2 linked regions of the Diceros bicornis minor genome follow. The protein of the gene in region 1 purifies or fractionates together with the protein of each later gene. This does not show direct contact. Links are inferred from orthologs where the notes say so. Each region holds a gene or a part of one and is shown on either strand. Other genes may lie near its edges.

Region 1 (5,569 bases):
TCTATGTACCTAGCATTAACTTTTTTCCCTGTGTTTACCCCACTCTGTTAAAATGCATTCTCGTTCAGGATTTAAATTTTAATAGGTTCCCTGTAGTCCTCCAGGCTCCTGTTATGCTAGCTTTGCTAGGCACACAGTGGGTACTCAGTGAATATTATCTGAGGATTATTATTATTTTTTTTTGTGAGGAAGACCAGCCCTGAGCTAACATCCATGCTAATCCTTCTCTCTTTGCTGAGGAAGACCGGCTCTGAGCTAACATCTATTGCCAATCCTCCTCCTTTTTTTTTCCCCCCAAAGCCCCAGTAGATAGTTGTATGTCATAGTTGCACATCCTTCTAGTTGCTGTATGTGGGACGCCGCCTCAGCATGGCCAGAGAAGCAGTGCATTGGTGCCCACCGGGGATCCGAACCCTGGGCCGCCAGTAGTGGAGCGCGTGCACTTAACCGCTAAACCACGGGGCAGCCCCTGAGGATTATTTTATTGTTAATTGTCTTGTCTTCTGTTTCAGAACACCAGCTACCGAAAGGCTACAGGCAGAGTTCAGTGCATTTAATACGCAGAGCAACAGATACCCCCAAATCAGTGATGAAATCTAAGTAATTCCCTTTTTCTAGTTAGCCAATGGCGGCTACAAGCTCCCAATAGGGTGTCACCAGAAGCTGAAAAGACGGTGAGCCATAAACTTAGTTGTCTTACCCCCTCCTGTGCTGACATACCTTACAGGTTGGAGTGGCCCATGTAAACGGCTGCCGCTGGGATCCTGCCAGTAGTAACCCCCATGGCAAATACAAGCCCTGGCTAGGGTCAGGAGACGGATCATAATTCTGGCTTCTCCACTAAATGAGAATACTTGGGAACTCGTTTTCCATTAATTAATTCGTTCAGCAAATATTAATTCATTCCAACTATGCGCCAGGAACTGTGCTAAGGACATAACTGTGATAGCCAACAGGCCGAGGTCTTTCCATTGCTGGAATCTGCATTCCAGCGGAAGGGTCGGGGGAGGCATATACCATAACCTATGGCTATTTCCCCACCTCTAAAACGGTGGAGTAGGCTTTAGGTTCAATTTAGATAGTTAGGGCCTGCTAATTTAGCATCTGATCAAAGCTTCGAGTATAGCACAAGCGGGCCGCTACCAGTCAGCACGCCGTTGCTCGTGCGAATATTGCAGCTTTCCTTTACACAGCGGGTACTACTAACACAGCTCGGCAGAACTGTTGTCAACATGCTACCCCGCCCCAGAACGCAAACCCGACTCGCTGCTCTGCCTCTGACCTGTGGTTAGCAGCCACACCTATTTTCAAAAGGTTGGAGGCGGTATGGTATTTGGTATTCCGAAAGGCTGTTTGAAAAATTTCCTTTGGCCCAAATCATGTATTTGCTAGTCGACATGGGTTAGGGGTGCAGGAAAGTTGGTTTCAGTTTAGCAGGGCAGCAAGGTGCTGGGGAGGATAGGTGGCGTCAGGCGACCTTAACATTTTGACGTGGAACTGAATCAAAAAGACGGCACTGGTGAAGAGAAGCAGGAGCAGTGGCTCCCGACTAGGCAGAGGCCGTGCAGGTTTCAAGGCAGCGCTCCGTCCGCCACACCGAGCCTGGAAGCTTCTTTCCAAACGCACGCTTTCAAAGCATTCTAGCCGGCCCTAGGCAGCGCCCACCCCGCCACTATCCGCAGCAGAGCGCACGGCTGCGCGGCGCCCAAACCTGCAGCAGGGCTGCAGGAAGCGGCCAGAAATCCCGTCACTGCGCATGCCCCAGGGCCATCGCGCTCTCCCGCAGGTGCCCCGCCCGCCGCCAGCGCCGCGGGCCACGCCCATGACGTCCGCCGGCCGGGGCGGGGCCTGGGCCTGGGGGCGGGGCGAGGCGCGCGCTTGAATGGGGCGCCGCGACGAGCCGCACATTCCAGCGGGCCCACGTGACGCTGCCGCGCGGCCTGAGGTAAACAACCGCGGCCCCGCCTCCGCGCCCCTCCGCGCGCCCTGCTCTGCTCCTCGCCGGCGGGACGCGCTCCAGCGGGGCGGGCGGCTTCCTCCGAGAGTCCCCAGCGGCCGGCGCGGGCCGGAGCAGCGGCAGCGGGCGCGGCGCCCCGGGTCTGCGGGCCGAGCGCGCCGGCCGGGGTCGAGCGCGCGGCCCCTCCCCGCCCTCCCCCCGCGCGCTGTGGCGCAGCAGGAATTTGGCGGGGACCCGGGCGCTATTTGCGGCTCTTGACGCGCCGGCGGCCCTCCGGTCGTTTCTATTCTCGGGGCACTGGGTCACTGCGCTCGGCCGGCCCCCTCCCCCGGGCCCGGAGGGTGTGTCCCCCGCAGCGGGGCTCGCCGCGCCTATAAGGGGCCGAGCGGCGGGCAGGGACATGCAGCTCTACAGCAGCGTCTGCACCCACTACCCAGCCGGGGCCCCGGGGCCCACGGCCGCAGCCGCCGCGCCGCCCGCCGCCGCCGCCAGCGCCCCCTTCAAGGTCTCTCTGCAGCCGCCCGGCCCCGCCAGCGGCGCCCCGGAGCCGGAGACCGGTGAGTGCCAGCCCGCCGCGGCCGCCGAGCCGCGGGAAGCCGCCGCCGCGCCCGCCGCCAAGATGCCCGCTTTCTCCTCCTGCTTCGAGATGGTGGCCGGGGCCGCCGCCCCCGCCTCGGCCGCCGCCGGCCCGCCCGGCGGGGCCTGCAAGCCGCCGCGGCCGCCGCACTACACGTCCACGGCGCAGATCACCGTGCGGGCGCTGGGCGCCGACCGGCTCCTGCTGCACGGGCCCGAGCCCGGCGCCGCCGCGCCCGCCGCGCCCCGCGGCCGCTGCCTCCTGCTGGCCCCGGCGCCCGGCGCCCCGGTCCCGCCGCGCCGCGGCTCCTCGGCCTGGCTCCTGGAGGAGCTGCTGCGGCCCGACGGCCCCGAGCCCGCGGGCCTGGACGCGGCCCGGGAGGGGCCCGACAGAAACTTCCGACTGAGCGAGCATCGCCAGGCCCTGGCCGCCGCCAAGCACCGCGGCCCCGCGCCGCCACCGGGGAGCCCGGAGCCCGGCCCCGGCTCGTGGGCCGAGGAGCGCCCGGCCGAGAGGAGCTGCCGGGGCTGGGAGCGGGCCGGCGAGCGCGGCGACCCCCCCGGCGCGGACGAGGCCCGGCGGCCCGACCCCGAGGCCGAGGCGCCCCCGGCCCGGAGCGTGGAGGCCGCCCCGAGCGGCGCGGCCGAGGCGGTGGTCGTGGCCAGGTCGGATCCCAGAGACGAGAAACTGGCCCTGTACCTGGCGGAGGTGGAGAGGCAGGACAAGTACCTGCGCCAGCGGAACAAGTACCGCTTTCACATCATCCCCGACGGCAACTGCCTCTACCGAGCGGTCAGCAAGACGGTGTACGGGGACCAGAGCCTGCACCGCGAGCTGCGGGAGCAGACGGTGCACTACATCGCCGACCACCTCGACCACTTCAGCCCCCTGATTGAGGGCGACGTGGGCGAGTTCATCATCGCTGCTGCTCAGGACGGGGCCTGGGCCGGGTACCCGGAATTGCTGGCCATGGGGCAGATGCTGAATGTGAATATCCACTTAACGACTGGAGGGAGGTTGGAGAGCCCCACGGTGTCGACCATGATTCACTATTTGGGCCCGGAGGATTCCCTAAGGCCTAGTATTTGGCTGAGTTGGCTCAGTAATGGACATTATGATGCGGTGTTCGATCACTCCTTTCCCAATCCAGAGTACGACAGTTGGTGCAAGCAGACTCAAGTGCAAAGAAAACGCGATGAAGAACTTGCGAAGTCCATGGCCATATCCCTATCCAAAATGTATATCGAACAAAATGCATGCTCGTGAAGTGTCTGAAAACCTACACCCTGGGAGAATTGCATACGTAATTTGTGTTTGGAGAATTATATGAACTCGAATCAGGGTAATAGCACTTTTAAACTTCCTAGTAGATTTACTGTAGGTGTGATGCCTTAATCGTTTTTTTGAATGTTTTCTCAGAGCTGAAGGTTGCTGGGCACCTAAATGAGGTTTCATGATAGCTTTGGGTGATCTTATTGCTATTTATAATTTGCTGTATAAAGTTGGCACTACATAAGTTGCAAGCTGATTTCTCATAGTGTAAATTTGTTCATTCCTGGTAATCTATTTTCTATAAAAATGTATTTTTGCACAACATTTTTAAAAATTGGTGTACCTTCACCTATGATGTGTTCCATTTTGACAAACAGCTTTCCGGCATAAATCCAGAGAAGTGCTTTATATGAAGTTTATTATTTTGAACAGAGTTTGTGAATTTAGTAGTTATTTTATGTTGTTGAATTTGAATTTTGCAGTTCTTAGGTAATTATTTCAAATGGATATTGATGCATTCGTGTTACCAGATGATAGGCCCATTCCATTTTGATGAAACAAACAGATTTGTTTTGGAAATCATTATTTTTCTAGAAATGGTCAACGTTTTAAAGAGAAATACTTAAGGGAAGGTTGTGGGAAGAGTTCTTTTTTTTCTTTAAGGGATAGTACCAGCTCTTACTTGAATGAAAGTCTGATATTTGCTGACAGCAGAGTGATTATTCTGTACTCTGGTTGATGTTTAGAGTAGATTGTCTGGTGCTTTGAATTGTTTTTATTTATATTTGTCATTTTGTTATAAATGAATTTTAACATGGTCGAAGACTTTGTGACAAGATAAGCCGCCTGCTTTATATAGCATCTTGGATTCAACTAAGAGATTTAAAAATTAATAGCGTAAATGCCTGGAACCAACCTTGGCAGTTATTTTATAGCAGGAGAATACTGTCTTAATATTTTGTTCCTTTTAAATTCTTTCAGAAGGCAAAGTAGGATTGCCCTGTATTATGTACAAATAAAAATGTCTGTAAACAGAGCTTGTATGGTTTGCTGGGTCAAACAGTGTTCCCAATTGAAAATATCTCATTTCCACTTTAACTACTTTTAGTCATATTTATTAAGTAATGCAGTTTGTACTTTTTTATTTTGTAACATTTTGTGATTTTTTTTGTACAATATTGTATTTGTACAATAGAGCAATTCTCAGCTGATGGAATGAATGAATAAAATGCATAATTTTACTTTTACGTCTTTTTGGCTGAAGTGGTTTTTAAAATATAAAGTGACGTCTGTAGGAACGTTTCTTACATGTATACAATATTTTATGTGAGAAGATGTCACAATTAGGAGAGAGGTTTCTTAAGTTCTCACATGAACAGGATAGGATAATTAGTAATTTCAAAAGATAAGTCTCAATGAAATATAATTTAAAGGAGTAACTCAGGAAATTGCTCTCATTATTTCTAATTATAATTGCTATCTAAAATTACAGATGTAACCATTGGCTAATGAACAGGGAAGTACAAGTATTGTGTTAACTAACACAATGTGTAATTAAATATCATAGTTTTGTGTTCCACTCGCAGAACAGATTTTAATGTTTTAAAGAGTAACCAATGCCCTAATTTTCATCCAGTCTGGCTTCCTGGGAATTTATTAATTTTAATATGTGTTATCAGATTTAGTTGAGAATTGTACCTGTATATGTAATGCTGAGTGTTGTTTATTACAGACTAGAAACAGCTAGTTTGGATTTTTTACTT
Region 2 (5,569 bases), on another chromosome or scaffold:
CAATAAATATTTGTTGAATTAAGGAAGGAAGGAAGGAAATGGAAATTCTTCCCAATTCTATTGATAAGGACTTAACATTTTGAAGAATTCTTTGCAAAGAAGTTTTAGCCACATCTCATTTATTTCAGGTTGCTTAATAATAAATTAGTAACCTCAAATACCACAGACTAGCTTAGAATAGTACCTAAATCAGCAGGTTCATTTCTGTAGATATCATAATCTCCTGTTTTTCCATACTCCCAGAAAGCCTTTTCCAGAAATACATTCACACAATTGAGGTACCTAGGAATCTCAAATGGTTGAGATCTATATGTTCTTGAGTTTTGTTTTCTGAATGTCAAACTGAACTTTCTGACACAGATCAAGCACAGGACAGGACACGCCTCGATGATCTGTCCATTGTAGCTAGGTGCCTCTTTATAAGGACTCCAACAACTATTTACCTTTATCAGCCTTTTTTTTTAGCATCAACCCTTGCTGGAATTTTAGAAGAATCAGAGTAGTAATAACTATAGTACAGTGTAAACCACTCTGAAGAAAGGCACCAGAGGAAAAATGATTTAGATGACAAAAAAAAAAAAAAATCTAACCCTGTTCTGCAAAGTTAAGTCCTTCACTGTACTTGGGGTTCATTCTCTGAGTATTTACTATGGGCCAGAGACTGTACAAAATGCTAAGGACAGGGCCGACCCCGTGGCTTAGTGGTTAAGTGTGTGCGCTCCGCTACTGGCGGCCAGGGTTCGGATCCTGGGCGCGCACCGACGCACCGCTTCTCTGGCCATGCTGAGGCCGGGTCCCACATACGGCAACTAGAATGATGTATAACTATGACATACAACTATCTACTGGGGCTTTGGGGAAGAAAAAAAAAAAAGGAGGAGGATTGGCAATAGATGTTAGCTCAGAGCCGGTCTTCCTCAGCAAAAAAAGTGGAGGATTAGCACGGATGTTAGCTCAGGGCTGATCTTCCTCACACACACACACACACACACACACACACAAAAGATTAAAAAAAAATGCTGAGGGCACAAAAATAAATAGGACATAATCCCTGTCCTCAGGTAGTGTATAGCTTAGGAGGGAAGAATGGCTGCTACTATTCTGAATATCAGAAAATGGGCTTGATACAAATCACAAGAGACTTAAGGTTGCTCAGTCTGTTTTTTCAACCCTTAGGTCAGTGGAACAGAAGGGAAAGAGTCATTATTCATTCAAAACAGTATTTCCCAAACTTGCCTGATCATATGAATTACATCAAGGGGCTTGTTAATATATAAATTCTCAAGGATCTCTCCTGGAGATTCTCATTCAGTAGGTTTTGGGGTTGGCCCTCCATTCGATTTATACAACTAGGCAACTTTTAGAAACATGATCTAGAAGAAAGTTACAATATGAAGCAACTCCCTTAAAATGTTAGAAAATGTCTAGAAAATATAACATATTAACTGGTTGCAGAAAAGGCTGACTTGCCAAAGATTTTCTTCTGGAAAGCTTTGCCTCAGGAGAAAGAGTGGGCAAAGGCTCATCTTCTCGGCTTCAAAGGAAAGAAGTGTCATTTGGCAGTGTCCAGGAAGTCTGGATCCTTGCCCACAAGGAGTCCAATTTCCTTTTTAAGGAGGTGAGAAGGATTCTGAATAGAGAAAAATGTTCAATCATTTGACCCTCAGGTCAGGGGTCGGTGATAAGTTTGATCACACAGGCAGCACAATGTCTGGTGACCAAATAAAATACTACTGAGCAGAAAATATCTATTTCCTGATCTATCCGCTCCTCAGTGTTGAATGCAGACATAAAGTCATGACTCTTAATTACCTTCAATCATTTCTGGAAAGAGGCAGAGCATCCAAATAAAGTAAATAAACAAATAGTAGCAATTATGATTTTAAGGCAAAAGGTAACATATAATGGAAATGAACCTGACAAATGGTGACAGATGTGGATGAAATCAGTTTCAAGGTAGGTTTAAAGTTTGCTAACATCCTGGCAAAGAATTGGGGGGGAGGAAGGGAAAAATGGTGGGGGAAACGGCATATAAACAAACTGCCTCTTCCCCACCCATGCAAAAACCATATGGTAGATGCTACCATGTGAAAAAGAAATCAGATTAAAAGCAATTAGTAATCAAGTCACAAAACAGGGTTAATTCCTAAAATGATAGAATCATTTATTTTTGAAATTGTAACCCCACCCTCACCCATTTCTAAAGGCATCATATGATGTTATACTCTGGTGCTTGGCCAAAGGGCAAAGAATAAGTGTATACAAAGAGCTGGAGAGATACGTCAAGAAGTCAGAATATATTCTACAGCAGACTGCCTTCAAACAAAGTCATACAACGGAAAAAAACATTTTGAGTCTGTATTTTTCAGTAGTTTAAATATCACCAACCACCTTCAAACGTCTAAGAAATCAATTTAACTTTGCAAATCCACATATAATTGATGAGAACTTTTGCTCGGACTTCAGAATGCTGGTAAAAAGTGTGAGTTTTAGGCAAATTAAGTACACAAAGTTTGAAAGGCCAGTGTGGATGAAAATCTTCAGCTTACCTAAGTTTCTGTGTAAATTTCTGTGCAACTTGCATAGAGCACCATCATTTCAATGCACAAAACCCATACAGATGACATCATAGACAGGGTATTAATTTAAAAGCTAAGGCAGGGGTTTTTAAGTTCCAAGAACAATATGTCTTAGGACATACCTCAGATATACCCATTAGAAAACATTTTCTTGAGGCACAGCAACTAGAAAAACTGTTCAAATGCACATTTGCAAGGACACTAACAATCTAAGGGAAATACTTTCCACTTTTTAAAGCACCCAGAAGATGGTTCCACATTGGAAAGGCCTCAAGGATAACCTCTGACATTGCAAATGTGAATATTCTTGGGTGGTCAAAGATTATTGATCAAAAAAACCCCACAAAAACAAAAACCAAATAAACAGCACCTCCTACAGGTGGATAATTCATTACTCCCATGAGGTTGTGTAGGTTGACAATGAGCAGGCTCAAGATATGCTCAGATAAATTCGTGGATATCTGACGCACAATGGGCTAAAGGGAACCAGATGCATTCTTAAGCTTTTGAGGTCAAACTTTAGGAAGCAATGTGGAGCTGTGGCAAGGGGATTAAGGGCCTAGAGACTGGCAACCTATCCTTTGCTGTACCTATTAATTAGCTATGTGACCTTGGGCAAGTAATTTCACCTCTCGGTGCCTGAGTTTATTATCTATAAAATGAGTGGGTTGAACTTTACCACAAAATCCCTTCCAGCTCTAAAATTGGGTGAAACAACTCCATGGAGGGCAAATACAATATGTTCTGCAAACTGTTTCTTGGAAGCATTCAAGACCACCAAGAATTACACTGACATCTCAAATTAATTCTGGGCCAACTCTCCTGGTGTCTAGCTCACAACAGACCGACTCCTTACTTGCGCTGCACTGTCTCTGTTTCACAGGGCTCTCAAATCTATGGATCCTATCTGGGGTTTGGAAGGTAGAGTAGGTAATATCCTCTTTTACAGAAGGAACTGAGGTGTAGGGCTTAAATGTCCTGTTTAAAGTCTCACAATCGGTAAATGACAGTCTACTTGACCTCATGGCTCTAAAAAGGGGCCTGGGGATGGCCAGGAGGTGGCACTGGACAATACGAGGCAGCCAGCTGTTCTGTTATCCCTGAACAACAAACCCTCCCAGGAAAAGGCCTCAAGCCGACTACTGGGTTCAATTCCCTTGAAGGTCAGGTCAGCATGGCTTATGAAACTCGTGGTTTGGATCCCGCCAAGTCGGAATTCACGAGACTGTGAGTGTGTGAAGTTTTTCCCGGGGGGTGGGGGGATGGCTGTGAGGCACAGGGAGCCCATGGAGCCCAGGCCCTTGGTCTTCGAGGTGGGGGTTGCCCGGGATGGGTCAGTCAGTCACCTGGGAGCCGGTTCCTCTGCCTCGGGCCTCGGACGCACACTGTCCGCACCAAGGGCGCCAGCTTCTGCTTCAAAGCACCCGCCGCCAGGCCTCCACACCGGAACATTTCGGCAACCGCTACTCTGGACCTCCTCCTCCTTTCCTTTCGTCTCCCGCACCGACCGACGGGTCAAACACCGTGGGCCCCAGCCGGCTCCCCGCCAGTTCTCCCTTCACACGCACTCTACGCAGGCTCCGCCTCCCAGCTCCGGGTGGGCATTGGACAGTTAAGCCGGCCTGTTAGAGCAGGGGAAGGGGAAGCGCGACTGGAGGCCTACTGCGCAGGCGTAGTACTCAGCACCGCATTGCGATTGGCCTGCACGGTGAGAGGAGTTGCGCATGCGCCCAGCTCCCGGCACACTTGCACAGGCCCAGAGAGGGATTGCTTGCGAGTTTTCGCGGGTTGGTGGCAACGGGTTTCGCTGAGCGAGTTCAGAAAGCTGTCCAAGGAGGGACCTGTGGGGCCGCTTTACCTGGCGGTTGTGGCCGGTGCTGCGGCTGTATCGATGGCGAGAACTGATAACAGCACCTTTGGGAGGTGTGGCCCCAGCACCGCATTTTGTTCTGTTTTAGGCCACTAGCTACTAGGCCCTAAGATTTCCGGATTCTCTGGCTTTGAACCACTTCTAGACTTTCCATAGGTCCGAGCCCGGGCGCCTGTCTTCCCAGATTCGGAATGGGCTTCTGTCTTTTATAAATTGCTGACACTTTCCCACCCAACCCCTGTTTCCGGGACAAGTAATCATTCCGCGCTCTCTTTTCCCATATCGCTTTTATATTGTGCAGTTCTGTGTCCTAGATGCTGTACCAGGTGCTGCGAATAGTCTTCTACTATTAGGGCTTCCGTGCTTGAGAGCAGGATCCTGGCAAAAAGAGTTCGTGTTTCACAGACTTTCTGTGAGTGAAATCCTAAGCGGAACTTGCAGAGTTGGAGGAGTAGGATGAGGGGCTGAGTGTAAATAGGTGTTTTGACTCTATCAAATGTAAGCTAAATTGGAAAGAAATTTTTCGCTGTATGCAAAACATAACGTGCCTTGTTCAAGGTTTTGGGTTACATATTCATTTAACAAGTATTTATTGAGCACTTACTACTTGGCCTATACTATGAAAGGGGCTCGGGGGCATCTGAAAAGTATAGGAAGTGGTCATTGTCCAGTTGGGGAGATGACATATACTGGTTATTTAAATAATAAATAATATCTGATGTAGTGCCAGAGCAAGAGAACAGAGTATGGGATGGAATAGCTAAGGAAGGACTTCATGTAAGAAGTGTTACTTGAGCTGTCTTAAAGGATGAGTAGTAAAATTCAAGTAGACAGTGGAGGAGGAGGAATGATATTTCAGATGGTGAATACATTGAGACCAAAGATAATGTTTTCAGTGGTTAAGGACCGTTGACTTTGGATCCTGTCTGCCTCAGGTTGAATCCTGGCTCTGCCGCTTGGGCAAGTCACTTAACTGTGCCTCACTTTCCTCATCTACCAATCTCAAAGAGTTGTTATGAAGATTAAATGAACTAATATTTATAAAGTATCTTAGAGGAAGCACCATGCTGTTTAAATTAAAAGGCTTGGAGGTATAAAACAAACAGAACCCAGCACACTT

The links. Proteins that work in one complex are often made in the same cells at the same time.
Region 2: the proteins of OTUD1 (region 1) and AIFM1 purify together in Homo sapiens (affinity purification with mass spectrometry; 3 studies listed by BioGRID, with this or other methods). This does not show direct contact. The link is inferred for Diceros bicornis minor from reciprocal best matches to the Homo sapiens genes OTUD1 and AIFM1.

What each region holds. Positions count from the first base shown.
Region 1 is NC_080775.1:22,912,708-22,918,276, forward strand, and holds OTUD1 (OTU domain-containing protein 1), read left to right. Parts: upstream 1-1,990; 5' UTR 1,991-2,357; coding exon 2,358-3,800; 3' UTR 3,801-5,053; downstream 5,054-5,569. UniProt on the Homo sapiens protein: Deubiquitinating enzyme that specifically hydrolyzes 'Lys-63'-linked polyubiquitin to monoubiquitin.
Region 2 is NC_080781.1:118,854,214-118,859,782, forward strand, and holds the start of AIFM1 (apoptosis-inducing factor 1, mitochondrial), read right to left. Parts: upstream 4,143-5,569; 5' UTR 4,032-4,142; coding exon 3,926-4,031; intron 1-3,925. UniProt on the Homo sapiens protein: Functions both as NADH oxidoreductase and as regulator of apoptosis.